Daphnia pulex: one gene and its partners. Each later gene encodes a partner of the first gene's protein in a complex. Links are inferred from orthologs where the notes say so. Each region holds a gene or a part of one and is shown on either strand. Other genes may lie near its edges. The genes, in order: cell cycle checkpoint control protein RAD9A-like, cell cycle checkpoint protein RAD1-like and checkpoint protein HUS1-like.

Region 1 (6,261 bases):
GGTTTCTTTTTTCGTAGGCCCATCATTTCCTGCTCAACAAACATTAGCTGAAAAGAAATTAGCCCAATCAAGAACAAAATTGTCTACTGAAGAGCAAGCTACATTGATGTACATGATGTATCAACAGCAACATTTCCTAAATAATCAAATTGAAGAATCTAAAGACAGAGTGTTGGCAGAATGCAAGGTAAACAATATACGATTATAACATTAATGTATACTCTTATTTAATTTTTTAACAACACTCCTAACATTTTAATTGAAAATGGTTTCAGGAACAAATGGAAGACCTCTGGAATTTGATCAAAATTAAGGAAAACAAAATTTCCCAAATCAAGGAAAGGAAGAGACTTGAAGAAATGCGGTTGGAACTCACTTCTCAGATTGAAGTATTGGAACCAATTGTGAAGCAAACAACAGGTTTGTCAAAATGTTCACATACTAGAGACATTCTTGAATCTTGGTTTGCATTTGTATTCAGATGCACTAAGTACTGTAACCCCTAAAGTTAAAGAGCTAGCAGATGGTTTGGACATCTATCGCCATCAGATTCGTCTAATTGATATCAATGAATTTAAAAAAGAAGAAACAGATGAATTGATCAAAGTTTTTAAGAACAGCACAACTCTATCCGATAACATTCAGGTGGAAAAGTTTGATGAGTTTATTAAAGCCGCAAGCGTAATTTCTGATCTAAACGGAACTACTGCTATGCAAATTGGAATCATGGAGGAGTATGTCTGCGTTATTTAAAAAAAAAACTCTTTGTCTAGGTCGAAATAAATTATTTTCTGTTTTAGATGCCAGAATATGATGTCGCAATCGATTACTCGGCTTGGCCAAGAACTAACACTGAGAGATACAAAAACGGACTTTAGAAAATTAAGCGATTTGGATGTATAAAAGTTACGTTTTGTTTATATTGTAAGATTATTTCTGTCATGATAATTAAATACTTTGATAGAAATCCAACCATTTCCTGTCATTTGTTTCTTACTGCGCTTCTATTAATGGGTAGGTTAATCCCCAAAACCATGTTGTTTGTATCTATGAAATAGCGGGAAACATTTAATAAGCATCGTTTTGGTTCTTTTTTAACTTTTTTCCATAGGAATAACATTTTCTATATATTTAACGAGCAGCATAAAAATAATTAATAAACTACGGCACTGCAAGATTCAAATTAATTTAAAAAAATTCAGTTAAGAAAAGGAATATAGGTTTTTTGTCCCAGTCGAACAAAACGTTTTTCAATGAATTTAAAATTTAAATTACAAACGACAATTTTAATATATTCGAAGTTTATTCATTGATAAATTTTGGTGATAAAATTAACACGGCGTATCTTTGATTTTAATAAGTAAGCGGAGTAGATATTGAAGCAAGGTACGAATAATACAACGTTCAGCATTTCTATTGTTTGAAATTTTGAAATTGAAAAGCTTCGTGTAATTAGGAAAAAGGTAAATTTTGGCATACAAGATGCAACAACCAAATTTGCCAAAAATGAATATGAAATTTAACACACAGAAAGAACCAATTGCCTCTTCATAGTAAGAACATTAGCTTAAAAGTGGCTGTATCTCCCCAAGTATGCTTTGCAATTTGGACAAGCATGATGAACATTCATGCACTCAGGAATACAGCAGGGGATAAGGCAACAGCCCAACCAACATCTGGTAATAAAAATATATGTGTTATATCAATGTGTAACTCTTAAGAAATTGCTGACTGTGTAATACCCAAATAGAACTAAAAGACCTCCAGAAAGCCAGGCAATCAGACCAGGTTCAGTACGCACAGAAGTGTCAATTTCAGCATGGCAATGTGGACAGACCTGTAAAGAAAGAAGATAGAGAAAATAAAATATATAATTAACTGTGGAGGGAAAAACTAACAGTGTGTGTTGTTCCGGGTCCAACAGGTATCACGGTTGTCACAATAATAGGCTGCTGGTTGGTTACATCTATTAAAAGAGATAAACATTGTGATTTTGAATGTGAGGCACATTTCCCATTAAAAGTTAAAATACTAAAAAAATGCTTTACTTTGATGAGGAGTAAAGGGGCTTGATGGATTAACACCACCCACTGCTTCCATGTAAGAAGGAGGGGCAGCTGGAGGAGGACCTTGTTTACTCATCTGTGAAATAGTTTATGGAGAATCCAATGAATTATTGGTAAATTGGTAATCAGAATATCAGACCAACATTAACTTCAATGTTTTGTATTCTGAATCATGAAAGAGTTTAAATTTTATTTGTTATTACCTTAGAAAGTCATGCAGTACAAGTAAGTTATTCACAAACGTTTACACTCTGTGCTCTAGTTAACACTACACAGCTGTTCTTAAGCTCCGCCCCATGACTTTTCAGAATGTAATCAGCAGGAATTGGACAGCGGAAAAGCTGATGTAATTGAAAGTCTTCCAATGTTTCAGAATGTTATAATTGAAAACCATTGATAAATCAAGGGGAAAAAAAATTTCCTTGAAGTACCTCAGCAGATAAGACCGTCTTCTTTATCTATGGTTAAAAGTACAATCAAGTTTCAGTGACTTGCAGATGTGGCCGAAATAATACGAGTCACGCTCGTCACTTGTTTCATTTGTTTACATCTTCAGTGAAGATAAAATCTCAACAGCCAATCGGGGCATACTTGAAAAAATTCATTTCCGTGTCGTCTGCGTGCTAAACATTCTAAACGTGTTATCCGGGACATGGGGTTACCGATATAATTTCTGGCGGCATTTCGAATTTTTTTTTAGTGCAAACAACTAAATTTACATTGAAGTAAAGAAAAATGAAATGTCTTTTGGATGCAACCAGTGTTAAGGGTACGACATGATGTTTCATTTGATTGTACTAAAGCAGTTGAAAGCTAAAACACTTTCTTTTATTCTTTAGTTTTGGCGCGAGCCATACACTCATTGGCTAAGATAGGTGATGAATTGCACATTTCACCAATGGAAAATGGATTAACTCTGAAGACCGTCAATGCTTCCAAATCTGCCTATTCAGCTTTCAATTTTCACCTACCTTTTTTTCTTGACTACACGCACATAAGTGAAAATACTGTTCACGCTGATCCAGAAGAAGATACTGTGATTAAATGTAAACTTCCCATGAAGGTCTGACAAATAACTTTAATGTGAAGTATTGTGTGTTTACAATGATGTTTTGTTTCCAGTCCATCTTGTCTGTATTTAGGTCGATCGGAAGCTTGGAAAAATCAGTTGAAACATGTAAGATAATGCTACCACTTCTTGAGGCTCTGTTAATCATTGAGTTCAGGTGCAAACATGGAATTGTTAAGTACTTCAACTTAAGATACTTTGAATGTGAAAGTGTTGAAGTAAGTCCTTTGATTTGGTCTCGCCAGACTTTTAATGAAAATAACCTAAAAATTCATAGGCAGAATTCTCTAAGGAGGGTTACCCCAGTAAATTTTCCTGCTCTTCACGTTTTTACAATGAAACTCTTCAAAGTTTTCATTCAAGCACTCAAGAAGTTACTTGGTAATCCAACAACATAATTGTCATGTTTAAATAACCTCAAATTTCGTTTATTCTTTCAAGGTCCCTTGCAATGGATCAAGTACATTTGAGTAACCATATTGATGATGAAATAGACCCATCCAAATGTGTTCGTACGGAAGTCACGTTGGTCAAGGATGAATTCATTGAATTTAACGTCGCTCTGTGTACTCAAGTTACATTTTGCTTGAAGGAATTACGAGCTATTTTGGCCTTCGCAGAAGCCCTGAAACTCGATCTTGATTGTCGAATGGAAGGCGCCGGACAGTAAGCAATATTTCATTTTACTTGTGATTCAAAAGTTGCATCGATTATTTACGGAATTCCTTCTACCAGGCCTGTTTTGTTCAGTCTACAAAAGGATGACTTGTATTCAGCAGATTTTCTCCTTGCAACTCTAACGCCTGCTCTGGACACTACGGCATCCATTAGTTCGCGAACTGCCAAACACGAAATGTCAGTACAAGGCAATACCTCCAACCATCCGTCTCCTGTCCCTACCCTGAGGAATAAAACAGGTAACAAAACAGGCTTGAAAGGGAAGTCAGGATCTTGACATACATTGCTCTCCTCGTGAATTTTCTAGATTCCAGGACCATTTCGCGTGCCAATTTGGTCGATTCTAGGAACGGTTCTCGTGCAAGCACGACACACACTCGTTTACACACACCTTTGATACGACAAACGCCTGTTAACGAGGATCATACCCCACGTCTTAACAGTCTATCTCTTATCGAGCCCCATCCGTTTCCTGATATGGAAGTAGATTTGGAACCCGAAATTCAACCACCTCCTAATAAGAGAGCTCGGGCTCGCTACATATTTCAGAATTGTCTCAAGTTAACACAAGAATACAGAGAGCGACCAACTGAAGTCTTTGCTCCGGATTCAGAGGAAGATGAATAGCAAGAGACGAAATAACCCTTTCCCGGCTTTCCCCTCATCCAACGATTTTGTACATTTTTCTTTCGCCGAGTTAACTCAGTATTGTTTTGTGTCAGAATTTTGTAACGGTACATCACTGTATCCTATATAATGATCACAAAAGTTAAAGTGCCATTAAATGTTGATCAGTCCATTTTTTATTTATTCGTGCCATTTCAATGTCATTTTCAAATTATTTCTTTAGAAGCATGGACCGGAAATCGGCATTGCTCTTCGAAGCACTGGCGGGAACACTGACGGGTGGCGGCATGGTGGAAGACTGAGATGTCTGGCGAAGGACGGCGTTTGGAACAAACGACACTTGCGTTCTCCTTACCCGTGTTCCGCCACCCAAAGATAGTTCATCCTTGTCCAGGTTTCTGTCTTCGCGACGTGGAGGTGGATTGCTTAACGCAACCGTCAAAACTTTGTCCTGGAATGTAGTTCCGTCTGTCTGGTTCATAGCCATCGTCGCTGAAACTTCATCTTCGAATTCAACGTAAGCCAGACCTTTGGGCTTTCCTTTATATTTAATTAAATAGAAGTTAGTAAAGAAAAAATAAATTTAATTTAGATTATTAAACGCTACCGTTCCGTAACGTTACTAATCGAACGTCCTTCAGAATTCCAAATTTTTTAAACAGAGCTTCCAAGTCTTCTTTAGTAGTAGTGAAAGCTAAGCCTGTTATAACATCAAATAGATTTGGGATAAAAACAAATTAAGCTCGTACCTAAAGATCGCAAATACGTACCTTTGATAAACAGTTTTTTCTTTTCTAATGTTGACTGGTACTTGAAAGCTGGATGCTTCAATGCTGCGTCCGGTTCGCTTGGAGACATGAAAACCGGTCGTCCTTTCATGAGCTCACGGTCCCGCTTCAGAACTGCTCTCGCTTCATCCTAAGATAGTTTTAAATGAATTTAACGGACAAGCGTAGGAAATTTAATTATGGAAGTTTACTTGTGAAGAAAATTCGACAAAACAAAATCCTTTGCAACGTTGTTTGTAGTCCAGAACAAGACGTATGTCCGTTATGGTGCCGGAAGAACTCATCATGTTGCGTACATCTTGTTCAGATGTTTCGTAGGCCAGATTGCTTAAAAAGACCGTATTGGCATGACGGGAAGGATCGGTAACCGGTTTAGGAATGACAACGGGCTTGCTAGCAGGTTCGGTGGCGTTTACTTTAGGTTCAACTTTCTTTTTGGGAACAACTTTCGTACTAGTTGCTGCGGCATCATGGCTTATTTTAGGTTTTTTGGCAGGCACGGGTTTCGATTCTTTCGCATCTTCAATCTTTCCTCGTTTCCTACCTTTAGCCGTTTCTACTTCTTGAACCGTTTGCCCCTCTCTTTCTTTATTAACCTTCTTCATCCGAGCTTCACACCTGGCATATTTAAACAATTAAAATCAAAATTTTCAAAAGCTTTAAATTATTTTTCAGACCTCTGTTTAGCGATATCCATGGTTTGTAAGTCTCCTTCTTCGCGTTCAAATTGCAGCCATTGCTTAACGATCAACTCTGGCCAATCGGACGAAGAGACTCCATTTAGACTCTTCGTAAATAATTTGCGGACTTCTTCTTTATTGTTATCGTGTGTTCTGTTATAATAAGCATTGTGTTAATATAACTCTAATAGAATTAACTAATTAGATCAATAACCTTTCAAACTGAACACGAGCCAGCCACCACTGAGCAGATTTACTGTGTCCCCGGCTTATAATCTTGCTCCAGAGGTCTCGAGCTTTAGGCATATTATTCAGCTTTTTTGCTTCGAAATATGCCCAATATTGTAGCAGTG
Region 2 (6,614 bases), on another chromosome or scaffold:
TTTTCCCGTCTAAAATTATTCTTCCCGTCTTCCCGTCTCGTTTTTCCGTCTAAAACCGTTTAAAACGAGTATCGTTTATAGGATGTCACAACCCTGTGTCGTTTTATTTGGACTGTGTTAGGTTAGAGTCTGGGTGGTTAATTAGTTAATTAACACAATGTATTCGACGAGAACGGAAACGAGATCCTTCTACAAAGCAAGCCGAAACTAGACTGCCCCTCTCTCGGCCCGCTGCTTCCTCACAGCTCTAGCGTGCGACACCTAGCGGTCACGAGAAGAAGGGCACACTGACACAACACACTGCAGAAGACGACTCGGCACGAACGAGTCAAAAAGTAAGAAAACAATAATAGTAAAAATAACATCAAAATTAAAATTATTCATGGCTTTGAATACTATGTTATTTGTCTGTCGGCGAAAATTTGACATCGCCTCAACATCCCGAATCAAAAAATTTGTGCTGGAGTACTCAACCAGGTGCAAACAAATGATTTTAAAATGTTACCTTTTTCCAACGGTAAAAGGAAACGTAAAATATAATAAATAAATTTTTCATTACATATTTTGGCCGGGAATAGATCTTTGGTTGAAGTTGGAAAATTGGAGATACCTAAAATTCAAGGAAAATATGATGCTGGCCAACTTTTCCTTCATCGTGTTTTTGGCTACAGAGGTGTGATTCTTTTCCCCTGGGTAAATATTGTTTCCAAACTTAATTTTGATATCATAATTTCTTTAAATACTCTAAATGTTTATTTCAATCCAGTCAGCTAGAGTGTATGATCGAGATATTTTGGCAAACAAGAAAACTACAAAGTATGTACCCTTTATATTGTAAGGTATCTTATTGTAAACACATTATTCTTGGAAGACTATACTTTAGCAATGTGAATGTGAGGTAGTTCATCAATTCCAGCTACACCAACAATATCTCAACACAGCAGAGAATCTCAAACTCTGCTAGCTTTAGGATTTGTAAAATGTTAATTCAACATGTCCACTCTAAATTCCATATTGCATTTCTGTTACTGTAACATTTTCATTTCCATTGCCATTGAAAAAGATCTAAGAATAGTACTGTAAAAACAAAGTTTTGTTTTCCATAATATATGTGCAAGGGACAAGCTTTTGCAGACATAGCTTACATCATCTCTCATGAAATACTTGCTAATCCTGTACTTAAAAAAAATACAGAACTCCTGATACTGATGTTAATACCTCTAATCAAGTTGGAAGAGAAGTAAAAGGGAAAAACCATACTTACTATCAGGTGCTCATTGATTCCCGCGACTGTCCTCATATTGTGAGTATTTAACTTTTCTTAAGCTGATGACCTTTTCAGTTTTCAGGAGCACATTTAGTAAAACTAGATTTCTGTTTATTAAGAGAGCACAAACAGAAGCGGTCACATTTTTAGGTCAACAAGAAAATAGCAAGTCGCTTTATGCTATTCCTGGTCTGGACTATGCTGCTCACGAAGATATCTTGCCGTATCGAACCACTGAGCACCAACCCTTATGTCACGAGCTTTTTGACAAATTTCTTATGCCTGACCCCGATAAAGGTTAATGTTTTCCCGCCCAGCTACATTGCGAATCTACTATCGAATTTTTTTAACACGAATCATCGATATATAAAGTGCAGATCCTCCGTTTGAAGCAAGAGAGACGTTGCGAGCGTGGCAAGAAAGAAATCACCCTTGGCTGGAATTATCAGATGTACACAAAGAAACGACAGAGAATATCCGTGTAACCGTTACTCCTTTTTACATGGGATGCCGAGAATCCCAAAATTCAACTGTCTTTTGGGTTCGTTCCATTGGTAATGTGAATCAAATTTTTTACAAATGTAATTTTTAACTTTTGCAGTGGCGTTACTGTATCCGGCTCGAAAACTTGGGAGAACTGTCTGTACAATTACGTGAACGGCACTGGCGTATTTTCAGTCTTTCGGGTACCCTAGAAACGGTTCGAGGAAGAGGAGTAATTGGACAGGTAATTAACGTCAATAACCACCGTTCAAAATTAGAATGTAACATTAAATCGTTCTTAAGGAACCGGTCTTGTCACCCGAACAACCAGCGTTCCAGTATAGCAGCCATATTTCACTACAAGCACCATCAGGGCATATGTGGTAATTTCAAGTTATTTTTCACTATTTATTAAAGAGTACAACAGCCAAGTTCAAATAATTTATTTTTTTTATGAACAGGGGAACGTTTCGAATGGAGAGAGAAGATGGGCACACCTTTGACTGTCGCATCCCTCCCTTTTCATTGGAAAGCAAGAACGAGGATAATAGCTTGCCAACCGGCGTGGTTTAATGGAGTCGTTCATGATAATCATGAAATATGAACAACAACAAACTTTGTACATGAAAGACAACTGCTGGCTTTTTAGTTTTTTCTAAGGTTTTCAAAGATCTTCGTTCTAGAATAATTCTAGGGCATTTTTTTCGTTTTAGTGATGCGGTCAATAATTCGTTCTCGTGGCATTCATTCGTCGTCGTCGAAGTCGACGTCCGCAGGGCACTATAAGAAATCAATTATTAGAGTGTATAAGGGAGAGGACGGTTGTAAAACGTAATTTGACGGATAGAACTTGGAAAAAAAAATGAACTTACGTAAAAATCGATGTAACAGTTGTGGTTGTCTTCTACCTTGATCATGAATTGGAAACATATGAGCCCCGTATCGTCGATTCGTAGCGAAACCTTTTGCGCTATTCCAAGGGGTTTGATGGATGGTTTCATCAAGGAGAGCTTGTATCTAAAGTCAGAAATTGAGCTAATACATCGTGTACGCCTTATTATGTATGTGTATCTATTTCGTACTTAAAGGACACTGCCGAGGTACAACGAAGAGTTTCTATTACATCGCTCTCTTTCGGAATATCGACCTTGAAACCCAAAACGTTTAGAATTAGAACGCGCTTCACTAAAAACTTTACAACGTGATTTACATGATAAGTTCCTGAATGACCAAATGTTGTGATACGAAAATTTGACGAATCAGGTGACAAAGAAAACTGAACAGTATCACTAGTCGAGTCCAACTCACAAAACACCTCTATAAAAACAATAATTATATTAGGAAATTTCTGTCTTCTTTCAACGCTTAATTACCTTTAAGACATTCCGAACTCATAATGATACGACCGATGACGTTAGCCGACCCAAAATCGTAATCCAGGACAGGATCAAAATGAACTGTACGTATCTTGCAGTCAGTGATAACTCCTGATTCTTCCAGCCTGCCAAAAAAAAAAATTATAATTCGAAATAAGTATAAAGAACGATTATTCTTTGTAGTTTTACATACAAGATAGAAACGGGAGTCCCATGGCCGTTATAGTAGAGTTTCAAGGCTGGTGTGCTGCCACTTTGAAGGTTGTTAGAGCCAAATACATTCAAACATTCCAGAAGCACAGTTAAATTAAGCTGAAATTTAATCTCATCTTCTTTAATAACATAACTCTAAATTTCAAAGAGTTAGTAAATTTTGTGAAAATTATTGTTTTTGTGAATTCTTTTTACTTGAAAAACTCCAGGCTCTATAAAGGCATTTAGCTGGACACTTTTCATGTCTTCAACTGTGACTTTTAATCCATCTCTAGTACAGCAAAATACGGAATTCTGAAAGGAAAGCAAAATCACAAGAAGGATGTAATAGGATTAGCTTTTGATCGCTAACAAAACATGTTTTCTCTGTATTACAATTCTTGAAGAATTTACCTCTTTGAAATTTATGGATTTGAGGATATGTGAGATAATTTTTGCATTATCCATACGTATCATCAAGATGTGACTTTGGTCTCCAGACGTGTTTTGAAATGGAAAATTTGGCATGGTGAATGTGGGACTCGTTTGCTCTTTAATGTTGTGGGAGTAGTTTTGAGAATTATGCAAAGGGTTCCTAAAGGATCATCCTGAAATGATCAGTGAAAAAATGTTCTGGTTAATAAGGCTAGGATTTTTTACAGAAAAATGTACTGCACAAAAAATGAACCGACCCAACTGTTACATCCAAGAGAACTATGATTCGAGACGAATTATTCTAGTTTTGACTGAATTCAAAATCTGGTTGTGTTTATCACAATCAACTATACAGCACAATCAAATTTGTTGGATTTAAAAAGTGCTAAACTGTCTGCAATGGAATGGAAGTAAAAATTTCAAGTTTTAATCTCGAGACGACGAAAAAGCCTACCGGCTTATTGATTCAAACAGGAAAATATTGTTATTATTAAACAGAAAGTCAGAAACATTGCGGCGTTGTACAACGCGAGAAAACAACAGTTTAGAGATGGGGAATTCGAAAATGAGCACGCCCATTGGTCGTATGCGACCATTGCGCCACCTAGAAATGTTTTGGCTTCCAAACATAGTTTTCAACTGATTAAGGCAGCGGGAAATGAATTTAAATGTAAAAGTCATGAAAAGATGAAATTTTAAATAAAAATACATAAAAGCAGTAAAGGACGAATGAAAAAAGAACCAAGTTGATGGCTGTTGATGGTTCGGAGCGAGGGAGAAAACTTGCCGCCAGTATCGTTGTTGTAGCGGTCGACGCGTGTACTCAGTTCGGTACCGCCTTAGTTGGCGGTGTTGAAGGGGAGCAGTTCTCTTTCACGTGCGAGGAGCAACGTGATAACAGATACAAGACAAAAAACAGCCCAAACGTCTTTTTCGGTGCTGAGACTTAAACCGTGAAGTGAAGTGTAATTCTTTTGTGGCTAAGTATGTGTGCAATCGAGTTTCGATTGTTTGATTTACCGGCATTTATAACCCAGTAATTCGGCACGTAGACTACTCGGCAAGCAGCAATAGTAGTAGCTTCGGCGCCCCCAAGAAAACCTAAAGGCAAAAATCGGTGACGCCCATTTTGGTGACGTCATCGCTGGGACACGTGTAGCCTGGTGCCTCGCTTGAAGTGCGTAGTTTTTCTCGATAATATTATCTTGTGATGTAGTGTTAGTTTTCAAACGTCACTTTGGCGATCAGAGTGACTTTGGTTTTTCGACTAAATGCAGTATCTTTTGCCGATTTAATTCTTGTCGCATTTAGTTTAGACATTAAAAGCAAGCAAACAAAGAGGCATTTTCCTCTTGTTAAAAGTTTTCTTTTGATAGACTATAGAGAGCTCATTCAAGGCCGCCAGCCTCAGGCCAAAATGAAACGAGTACTGAAACCCAAAAGCGAATGACCCTGTGTGCGTGCGTCTGTGTGAATTTTTATTTTTTTTTTCATTTGATATTGATGCAATGTGGATCCTGGATGTCATCGTTGTTGTTCAATGCTGTTACACTGTTGACTAAAACTGTTTGTGTCTTCTTGACCCACAGGTCTAACACTCAGCGGCTGGTGGTTGTCCAACAATGAGTTTGGAGATTCTCCTGGAAGCCGCTCTATTTGTAGAGCGACAGACCCAAGGTAATTGCTTTGCACAAGTTTAATCTAGTCCCCGTTCCCTCCTAGAAACAAGCAGGATTGCTCATACTGACATCAGTTTGTGCATGCAAAGTCTTTATAATATCAGACTGCTTAGAAGCTCGTGCACCCCCAGTCTTGAATTTCTCGAGCTCTGCAGAGCCAAAGGTTGTGAATCAGTTCCCTATTGTGTTTGGTGTTGGAGGATATGAGCTCATCAATCTTTTGGTTTTCTGGCCTTTGAATCTGTAATTGCCCCCGCCAGGTGCCTCTGTTGGAGCGTGTCTTTTTTATTTTATTTCTTCTTCTTCCCCAACGTCACACTACGGTCATCGAGAATGTCGACATCGATTGTTGACCTCGATCTCTACGAAGTTAGAGCCTGCGCATTGGCATTTTGACGTTGGCAACAGTCCATTCAAAAAAGCTCCTCCTCCTCTTTTATTTTTCCAGGCTCGCCAAGAACAAGCAAGAACGGGTGTCGGGAGTGGGAGAGAGAGAGGTGGGTGAGGAGAGCGATCTATTTGCGCAACTGCGAATCTCGGGGAGAGTGGCGTGCGTGCGCGGGTAACACGCCGAAATAGATCCGAAAAAAGGGTGGCAAAGCCCCGCCCACTTCGGTTCCACAACCCGCACGTGCTAACCAGTGTGTGTGTGTGTGTGTATCCCGCTCGCACTGGGAGGGTGGTGGTGTGCATTGTAGAGCGGATGGGGGAGGTCAAGAGCTAGATAGGAAAGAGAGAGAGTCCGGGAGTGAAAACAAAGTCGTCGCGCACGCAGCCAACGACATGGCTGATTATATAAGAGAGGGGGGAGGGAGGGAGAGCGTGCGGTAACGGGTGGCAAGTGATGATGGTAGGTGGAGGAGGAGGAGGAGAAGGAGGTCGCCACTCACGCCGTAGTGCAGCCGCAACGGATACTGGCTCACCAGTCTACGATCGAAGGTCGGCTAGTGCAGAGAGAGAGAGAGACTCTTTAATATATTATCATTTTATTTGTGTGAGTGTGGCTCCCCGTGTGTGGACGTGTGTGTGTGTGTATGTATGTTTGGGAGTTTGCGCGCGCGCATCTTGTGTGTTACGACGTCATCGCCACGGTGGTGGTGGTGGGGGGCCCCTGTGAGTTATTTTGCAATGCGTTGTGACTGTTGAATGCGACTCGGCAACAATTTTTCCTCCCTCCCAGTG
Region 3 (6,072 bases), on another chromosome or scaffold:
GACCATTGGGCGCTTAAGAGCTACCGTGCTCGTGGCTTCATTTGGAGAGGTTTGATTTGGTTTGTTTTGAGTAATGCTCCAGTCTTTGAATGGATCGACTGACACGATAGGTAGACGCCTGGCCAACACAAAATAGTGCTTTTAGGAAAAGTTATATAAGCAGAAAATTGCATGGTTTCCCTCTTTTTGATCAAAGAAATAACAATATACGAAAATTAAGATAGAATGTCTCACTTGACTAATGGCATTCCGGTTTCTGCACGAGCTTGAGCGCTGATATCGCGAATAATATTATGGAAAGCATCAGATGATGATTGCCCGTTGATTTCACGCCACACTAGTTCATCCAAGAACTGCTGGATCGTAGCAGTTGAAAGAAGTGATAGGGTATTCTGGAACACCTTAGGCACCGTTTTGCGGAGGTACTCCATAATGGTACGATTGTTTAGGCGGTCATCAACAGAAACCGTATTTAAATTTTTCTGTACTACATGACGAAATCCTAGTTCTTCGAGTGCCGCACGTTCAACAGTGAAATCTGTCATGATAATGGCTTTCTGATTCACCCACCTAAACAAAACGTGGAATGGTAAAAATTAGATTATAGCAATTGGGGATGCAATATTTTCATTTACTTTGGAAGGGGTTCTAGAATTTTGGTAAATCGAGCTCGACTACGCGTATCCCCAGCGATTGGTTCACAGGCCCGCAGTCGGAATTTCTTTGTTTCTTGATCATAGACGCCGAGGACTTCCACCTTAACGTCACGTCGCTTTCCATCCGTCGATGTTGTACCTAATGAAATCACTCCAACCTCAACGCGGCCATTTTTGCAGCCGAACAATGGAGTGCTAGAATGCACTTCTACCTACATTCGTATAAAATATAAATATGAAAATTTACAAAATATAAATAACTAGCAACGCGTACCGTGCAAACACTCCGTAACATGCCATAGAACAAGCGGAGAAAGACATGATCGATTTTCACCCACTGAACTACGTTCGAAACGGTTGTTTGGCAAGCCCAGTGATAAATGAGCTTTAGCAAAACTGTTGGGGACTGGGTAGAATCCTCAAATAATGACTCACGAAATATCGAAACAAAGTTGCGATCGCAACATTTTGTCATCCAAACATAGCCCCCACTAAATGTTCAATGGATTTAATTCACAATTCAATAACCTGTTCACGTCTTATTTAAATTTTTACCTGAATGGAAATTTATTCTCTTCTGCGTACATTCGCAGTTGTAATGGAACCGGGGTTGATGTCGCGTTAAAATGTGTTCGACAAGTGCCGAATTGCTGACTTCGTAAAAGGCCAACCTGCATTAACCATTCCGCAAATCGACGAGGATCGAGAACTAAACGGCTCTTTACGAACGAATCTAAAAAGCAAGACAAACCGAATGAAATAATTTTTTTAACATGCACAAAAAAAAATAAAATAAAAAAAAATAAAATACTCAACCAACCTAGTGCCTCTCGTTTCTTGGCATTTACGATGTCGGGAACTGAATTTGCCGGACGAACAACGACACAAAGAGAAGGTATCGTTTTAGACAGCATTTTTGTGTCTTCAGGTGGTGGCACACTCGCAGTATTTTTCGCTGGAGTGGCATTTGAAGGAACCGCCAAGATCGTCATTAGCTGACTTGTTGGGATAGTAACTGCAGGAGCTTGTGATGTTTCTGATGGCTTATTTGGCTTTTGCGTGGGAACAGGTTGATTGCTACTAGCTCTTTTGTTATTTCCACCTGAGATTGATGGAGTAACTTGAGCAACTTGAGTAGCTTGGGCAACTTGAACAGCTTGTGTGACTTTTGGTGTTTGAACAGTCTGGGGAGGTTTTACAGTATGAGAAAGCTGGATTACTTTTGCAGTTTGGGCAGCCTGAGCTACTTGAATAGTTTGAGGAATAGCTTGAACAGTTTGACCAACTTGGCCAGGTTGTATGCATGGTGCAGCTTTCTGTTTCTTTGCGGTAGTAGCAGTAAATTGTGAAAGCAATTGTGATGCTGGAAATGGAGTTTCATCAACAGCTGGAGTTTCATCTGCAGCAGGTAACAGAGCTATAGACTGATTCAGAGGCCTGAAAATTTTTGTTGGTAGTGTGGAAACAGGAGGAACAGAAGGAATTATTGGGGGTCTAATTAAAAATTGAGTAGGTCCACTTCGAGGACTATGCATAGTCTGCTGAACCGCTGGTGTTGGTAACTGAGGTGGTGGTGCAACAGGGTTCCGAACTTTAACCTGATATGTAGACTTCACCAACCAAACATTTCCAGTTTTTGTGACTGATGAACCTTCTGACAAAAATAAAACTGAACTAACTTGCCGGTTTAGTTTTAATGTATAGTTTACCTTTTTTAATCTGGTTGGCTTCTGACATGGCTTTTTCATATTCCATCATAGCATTTGTAAAGAAGCTAACTTGAGTTTCACTCAATTCTTCTTCACAACAATCAACTTCCAGATCACTGGAAAGCGTCATCTTGATTCTTGATTCTTGATTTTTATATTAATCCAATAAAACTCACAACTGCAAAATTCTTGCCGAGGAAAACAAACAACGTATGGGGAATGCGAAAAAATCAAGCCAAGGCAAAACATTGTTGCCAAATTTTCCCTATGCAATAATTGAAATTGAAATAAAAAGGAAAGAATTTTTTAAAATTATATATTAAATTTATGAATATTTCAATAGAAATAAATTTTTAATTGTATTAAGTTAGTGAAAAATAATAAAAATATAGAATGCTTTAAACTTAATTTGGCAGTCTCAATTCTCAAATCAAGCCGGGGAATTTCGTCTGTTCAAAATTTTCTCCTTCATTATTGTTCAAGTTTTTTCGTCTGTTTCAAGATCTCATTTCAACTTTCACAATGAAGTTTCGTGGGAAAATGATTGATCCTAACTGCATTAAGCAATTCATAGGTACGCAATTCCGAATTCTATTATTCATTGCTGTTCTAGGATTAAAATTTCATAAGTCGAAGTCATCAATGATCTTCACATTTTAAACTACAGGCATTTTAGGTTGCATGACGAAACTTGGGAAATCATGCATTCTAAGGATCACTACCAACGACTTGTATTTCATTGTCCGTGAATCCCAGACTATTTCAACCTCTCCACTTATTTGGTGTACTCTTGATGAGGGTCACTTTTTTTCAGAATTTGGAATGGAAGGTTTAAGTACCGTTGATAACGAAATATACCTTGAATTTGTTGCAGGTGAAGTGTACAAACAATGTTAAAACTATTAGATTCAAAATTTTCTTATTTTAATTAATAGAAAATGTTGCAAGAACATTGAGTGCCTTGAAAGTATCAGGAACTGCAAAATCAGTAAAAATCAAACTCACAAAGAAGCTTTCTTCACCGTGTCTAACTTTTGAGATTGACTTGGTATTCTTGAGATTGGCTCCTTGACTGACTTGTTATTCTCCTTATATGCATTAAAATTTCTCATGTATACTTTCAGCCATCAGGTTCTAATCATTCACGATTAGTTGTTCACGACATCCCTGTGAATTTGGTACCTAGAAGGCTTTGGAATGACTATGTTGAGCCAGAAGTTGTGGATCCAGATGTAATTATTTTTAGATATTTTTCTTATATCTTTATAAATATTTAAAATAAAACCCATTAATCTCTAGATTTCAGTTCATATGCCTCAGCTCCGTTTAATGAAAAGCATTATTGAACGCATGAAAAACCTTGCCAATATGGCCACTCTTCACGTCACATCCGAAGGATTACTTACTCTAACTGTTGAAACTGAAGCCGTTTCCGTAACTTCACACTTCGATCATCTACACGTTGAAAAGCAAAGTAAGACTTTAAGGTTGTAGCATTTCCACATAGTTTTAATTATCGGTAACGTTTTAATAGAGGAAGATGAAGCTAGTGTCACCATCGAATTGAAACGTCTATCAAATTTTCTAGCTCATGAACAGCTTAATCCACAAAAAGTCGTTTGTGGTATAAAACAATATGATTACATCTTTTACTAAACACAAACCGACACTCATTTCTATTCGATCTTATAGATGTGCTGCAATCAAAATTGATGCATTTGAATTTTCTGAGCGACAGTTACAGTTTGCAGTATTTTCTCCCAGGGATTAATGACCAATAACGAAGAAAAAAACTTTCCTGAGTTCCCTCGATGATTTATTAAAGTGGATCGCAACTTGAACGATTACATAGAGGCTCACATTTACGCGCTGATTTCAGTACCTACAACTCACGGAAAACCATCGTCATCTTCTTCAGCCATTTCCTTCGCATATTCCAAATCTTGTTGTTCCCGTTCGCGACGTTCCTATAAGAAAAATTTAATCTGTTTTTTACCATAGCCCAATACATAAAACGCAGATAATTCATGTCTGATAGATCTACAGTTTCAGATTTTAAATTACACAGTTGCATTTGGTTTCACGCCAAGGAATTCGATATTGAGTAACGCCGTTGTATTCACAATATTGCTTCTTATAATCAACTCATTTTTTCCTGCAATTAATCGAACGAAATTAGTTTGGGGTTACCTCTGCTGATTCCAAATCTTTGTTGTATGCCTTGGGAGGGAAGCGCATAGCTTTGACGCTTTGATTATGAATCTGAAGGCAGAAGGTGATTCGCTGGTGGAAAGCCAGCTGAGGCTCCTTGGTGCTGTAGACGTCAATGCTCTCCTTACTCTGCATAAATTTTCCTTCGTGGTCTAACCAAGCTTCGATAACTCCGTCACGAATGGCCTTGGCAACAATGAATTCAGCATCTTCGGCCGAGTCCAACAAAAGCTTGTGGGCTATGTCAGCTAGAGAAATGCGCGAATACGACAAAGAGATGGCTCTAATCGCAGTCTTGATAACATTGTGGCGTAGACGGATTATAAGAGTATAGGTATGATCAGCCTAAATAAATAAGAAAGTTAATTATATAATTTGGAGGGGGAACATTCGCTTGAAAGACCCTGCCTGGAAAGTTTTTCCGTAGTTCTCTAACACTTGATTGAATCTGTGTATGTCTCCCAACCTGACGGCTTGCGTCATTTGAAAATATGGAGCCAAGGCGTGTCTCATTGTTGACTGACGGAAAATATGCCGTTCAGGAATGTCTCCCATCAACAACTCGACTGTTACCAAAAGCTTTTGAACCGTTTGTTTGAAACCAACTGCTGTATGCTGGGGCGCTTTCCGAATGGCTTGCAAAAGATGAGTGTGAGCCTAAAATCAACAAAACAATGTTACAATTAGGAGATTAAAATAATAATAATAATAATTGTGTGTTCTCACCTGCGAATATTCCAATTGAATAGCCTTGATTCTTCCAAGATAGTAAAGATAACGTGACCACTCGTTGTTACTTCCAGATTCTGGGAAGACAGATTTTGAGACCAACTTGTCGGCCTAGAAAACGACTTATTAGGTAATCTAATGAAAAATAAATAAAAATAAAATAATGAAAACTTACTTGATCATACAGACTGTAGAAAAGATAGTTGCGCAGCAAACAATTGATCAGCACTGCCTGTCCCTCAAAATCTTTTCGGAGAGTACATGTACGTAGCCGGCTATGCAGAAAGCTAGAATAATAATAATAATTTAAGATATTTTGAAAGGTATTTTTAGCTAGTTCATTTTTACCTTCTGATTGAATCCAGCTTTCCAGCAAGCTCGTACGTCCTAGAATGATAGAAGTAGCAACGAGCAGCCAATAAATCCAAAGTACGCCGATTTTGAGCTGTTATTTTCTGCATTAATTGGTCTGAGCAGAGAACTCCTTCTTGAATGCGCTTATTATCGATACAATGAAGAAGAACTAACATATGGATGTATACGTCAACCTACATAAACTTCAGTCAGCAAAGGTTAAAAACGAATTTTGACCGAGATATATTTACTTCAGGTAAAGGAGAAGACGTCCCCTGTTTGGGAGCTCTTGTTCTTTGGATTGGAGATGCAATATCAAGAGAGTCATCCCCTCCTACTAGATTAAGCAAGTTGTCTCTTTCCTTTATCGAATAGCTATAACTGTGAAGAATGATGCGACGTAATACAGCGGG

What was found.
Region 2: the proteins of cell cycle checkpoint control protein RAD9A-like (region 1) and cell cycle checkpoint protein RAD1-like are in contact, whole or in part, in a crystal structure (PDB 3GGR), measured with the Homo sapiens proteins. The link is inferred for Daphnia pulex from reciprocal best matches to the Homo sapiens genes RAD9A and RAD1. Residues at the interface, in NP_004575.1 of Homo sapiens: Leu76, Ser82, Val83, Ser86, Leu90, Lys92, Leu112, Phe116, Gly117, Val118, Arg119, Lys120, Thr121, His122, Asn123, Leu124; in NP_002844.1 of Homo sapiens: Glu165, Ala166, Ser168, Glu169, Asn195, Ala196, Gly197, Ser198, Ser199, His200, Leu201, Asp202, Tyr203, Pro204, Asp206, Ser207, Glu211.
Region 3: the proteins of cell cycle checkpoint control protein RAD9A-like (region 1) and checkpoint protein HUS1-like are in contact, whole or in part, in a crystal structure (PDB 3GGR), measured with the Homo sapiens proteins. The link is inferred for Daphnia pulex from reciprocal best matches to the Homo sapiens genes RAD9A and HUS1. Residues at the interface, in NP_004575.1 of Homo sapiens: Leu157, Pro158, Pro161, Val176, Ala186, Lys191, Ala192, Met193, Val194, Thr195, Glu196, Met197, Cys198, Leu199, Gly200, Asp203; in NP_004498.1 of Homo sapiens: Thr84, Asn87, Arg90, Ala91, Lys93, Thr94, Phe110, Ser121, Ser123, Ser126, Arg127, Ile128, Val129, Thr130, His131, Asp132, Ile133, Pro134, Ile135.

The regions. Positions count from the first base shown.
Region 1 is NC_060026.1:14,697,950-14,704,210, forward strand, and holds cell cycle checkpoint control protein RAD9A-like, read left to right. Parts: upstream 1-2,593; 5' UTR 2,594-2,801; coding exon 2,802-2,835; intron 2,836-2,905; coding exon 2,906-3,129; intron 3,130-3,188; coding exon 3,189-3,353; intron 3,354-3,412; coding exon 3,413-3,516; intron 3,517-3,576; coding exon 3,577-3,801; intron 3,802-3,870; coding exon 3,871-4,064; intron 4,065-4,120; coding exon 4,121-4,440; 3' UTR 4,441-4,612; downstream 4,613-6,261. Other genes in the region: uncharacterized protein LOC124203995, read left to right, coding at 18-187, 276-420, 482-734, 801-903; lipopolysaccharide-induced tumor necrosis factor-alpha factor homolog, read right to left, coding at 1,568-1,676, 1,743-1,837, 1,899-1,966, 2,049-2,142; squamous cell carcinoma antigen recognized by T-cells 3-like, read right to left, coding at 4,652-4,980, 5,048-5,140, 5,211-5,358, 5,420-5,846, 5,906-6,061, 6,123-6,261. UniProt on the Homo sapiens protein: Component of the 9-1-1 cell-cycle checkpoint response complex that plays a major role in DNA repair. The 9-1-1 complex is recruited to DNA lesion upon damage by the RAD17-replication factor C (RFC) clamp loader complex.
Region 2 is NC_060028.1:2,684,257-2,690,870, reverse strand, and holds cell cycle checkpoint protein RAD1-like, read right to left. Parts: upstream 4,590-6,614; 5' UTR 4,463-4,589; exon of another isoform or gene 4,011-4,462; intron 3,952-4,010; exon of another isoform or gene 3,927-3,951; 5' UTR 3,847-3,926; coding exon 3,733-3,846; intron 3,634-3,732; coding exon 3,535-3,633; intron 3,475-3,534; coding exon 3,320-3,474; intron 3,252-3,319; coding exon 3,124-3,251; intron 3,068-3,123; coding exon 2,961-3,067; intron 2,898-2,960; coding exon 2,833-2,897; intron 2,808-2,832; exon of another isoform or gene 2,768-2,807; coding exon 2,548-2,767; 3' UTR 2,531-2,547; coding exon of another isoform or gene 2,495-2,530; 3' UTR 2,324-2,494; coding exon of another isoform or gene 2,212-2,323; 3' UTR 2,179-2,211; downstream 1-2,178. Other genes in the region: polymerase delta-interacting protein 2-like, read left to right, coding at 383-477, 579-693, 767-816, 1,195-1,303, 1,387-1,564, 1,645-1,808, 1,869-1,994, 2,054-2,133 and 1 more. UniProt on the Homo sapiens protein: Component of the 9-1-1 cell-cycle checkpoint response complex that plays a major role in DNA repair. The 9-1-1 complex is recruited to DNA lesion upon damage by the RAD17-replication factor C (RFC) clamp loader complex.
Region 3 is NC_060024.1:9,950,923-9,956,994, reverse strand, and holds checkpoint protein HUS1-like, read left to right. Parts: upstream 1-2,786; 5' UTR 2,787-2,887; coding exon 2,888-2,939; intron 2,940-3,032; coding exon 3,033-3,239; intron 3,240-3,300; coding exon 3,301-3,413; intron 3,414-3,489; coding exon 3,490-3,597; intron 3,598-3,664; coding exon 3,665-3,839; intron 3,840-3,899; coding exon 3,900-3,989; intron 3,990-4,057; coding exon 4,058-4,146; 3' UTR 4,147-4,254; coding exon of another isoform or gene 4,255-4,332; 3' UTR 4,333-4,463; downstream 4,464-6,072. Other genes in the region: uncharacterized protein LOC124200064, read right to left, coding at 1-118, 235-570, 636-868, 931-1,147, 1,212-1,389, 1,477-2,310, 2,366-2,495; probable 26S proteasome non-ATPase regulatory subunit 3, read right to left, coding at 4,255-4,332, 4,556-4,921, 4,985-5,233, 5,303-5,416, 5,481-5,592, 5,654-5,853, 5,911-6,072. UniProt on the Homo sapiens protein: Component of the 9-1-1 cell-cycle checkpoint response complex that plays a major role in DNA repair. The 9-1-1 complex is recruited to DNA lesion upon damage by the RAD17-replication factor C (RFC) clamp loader complex.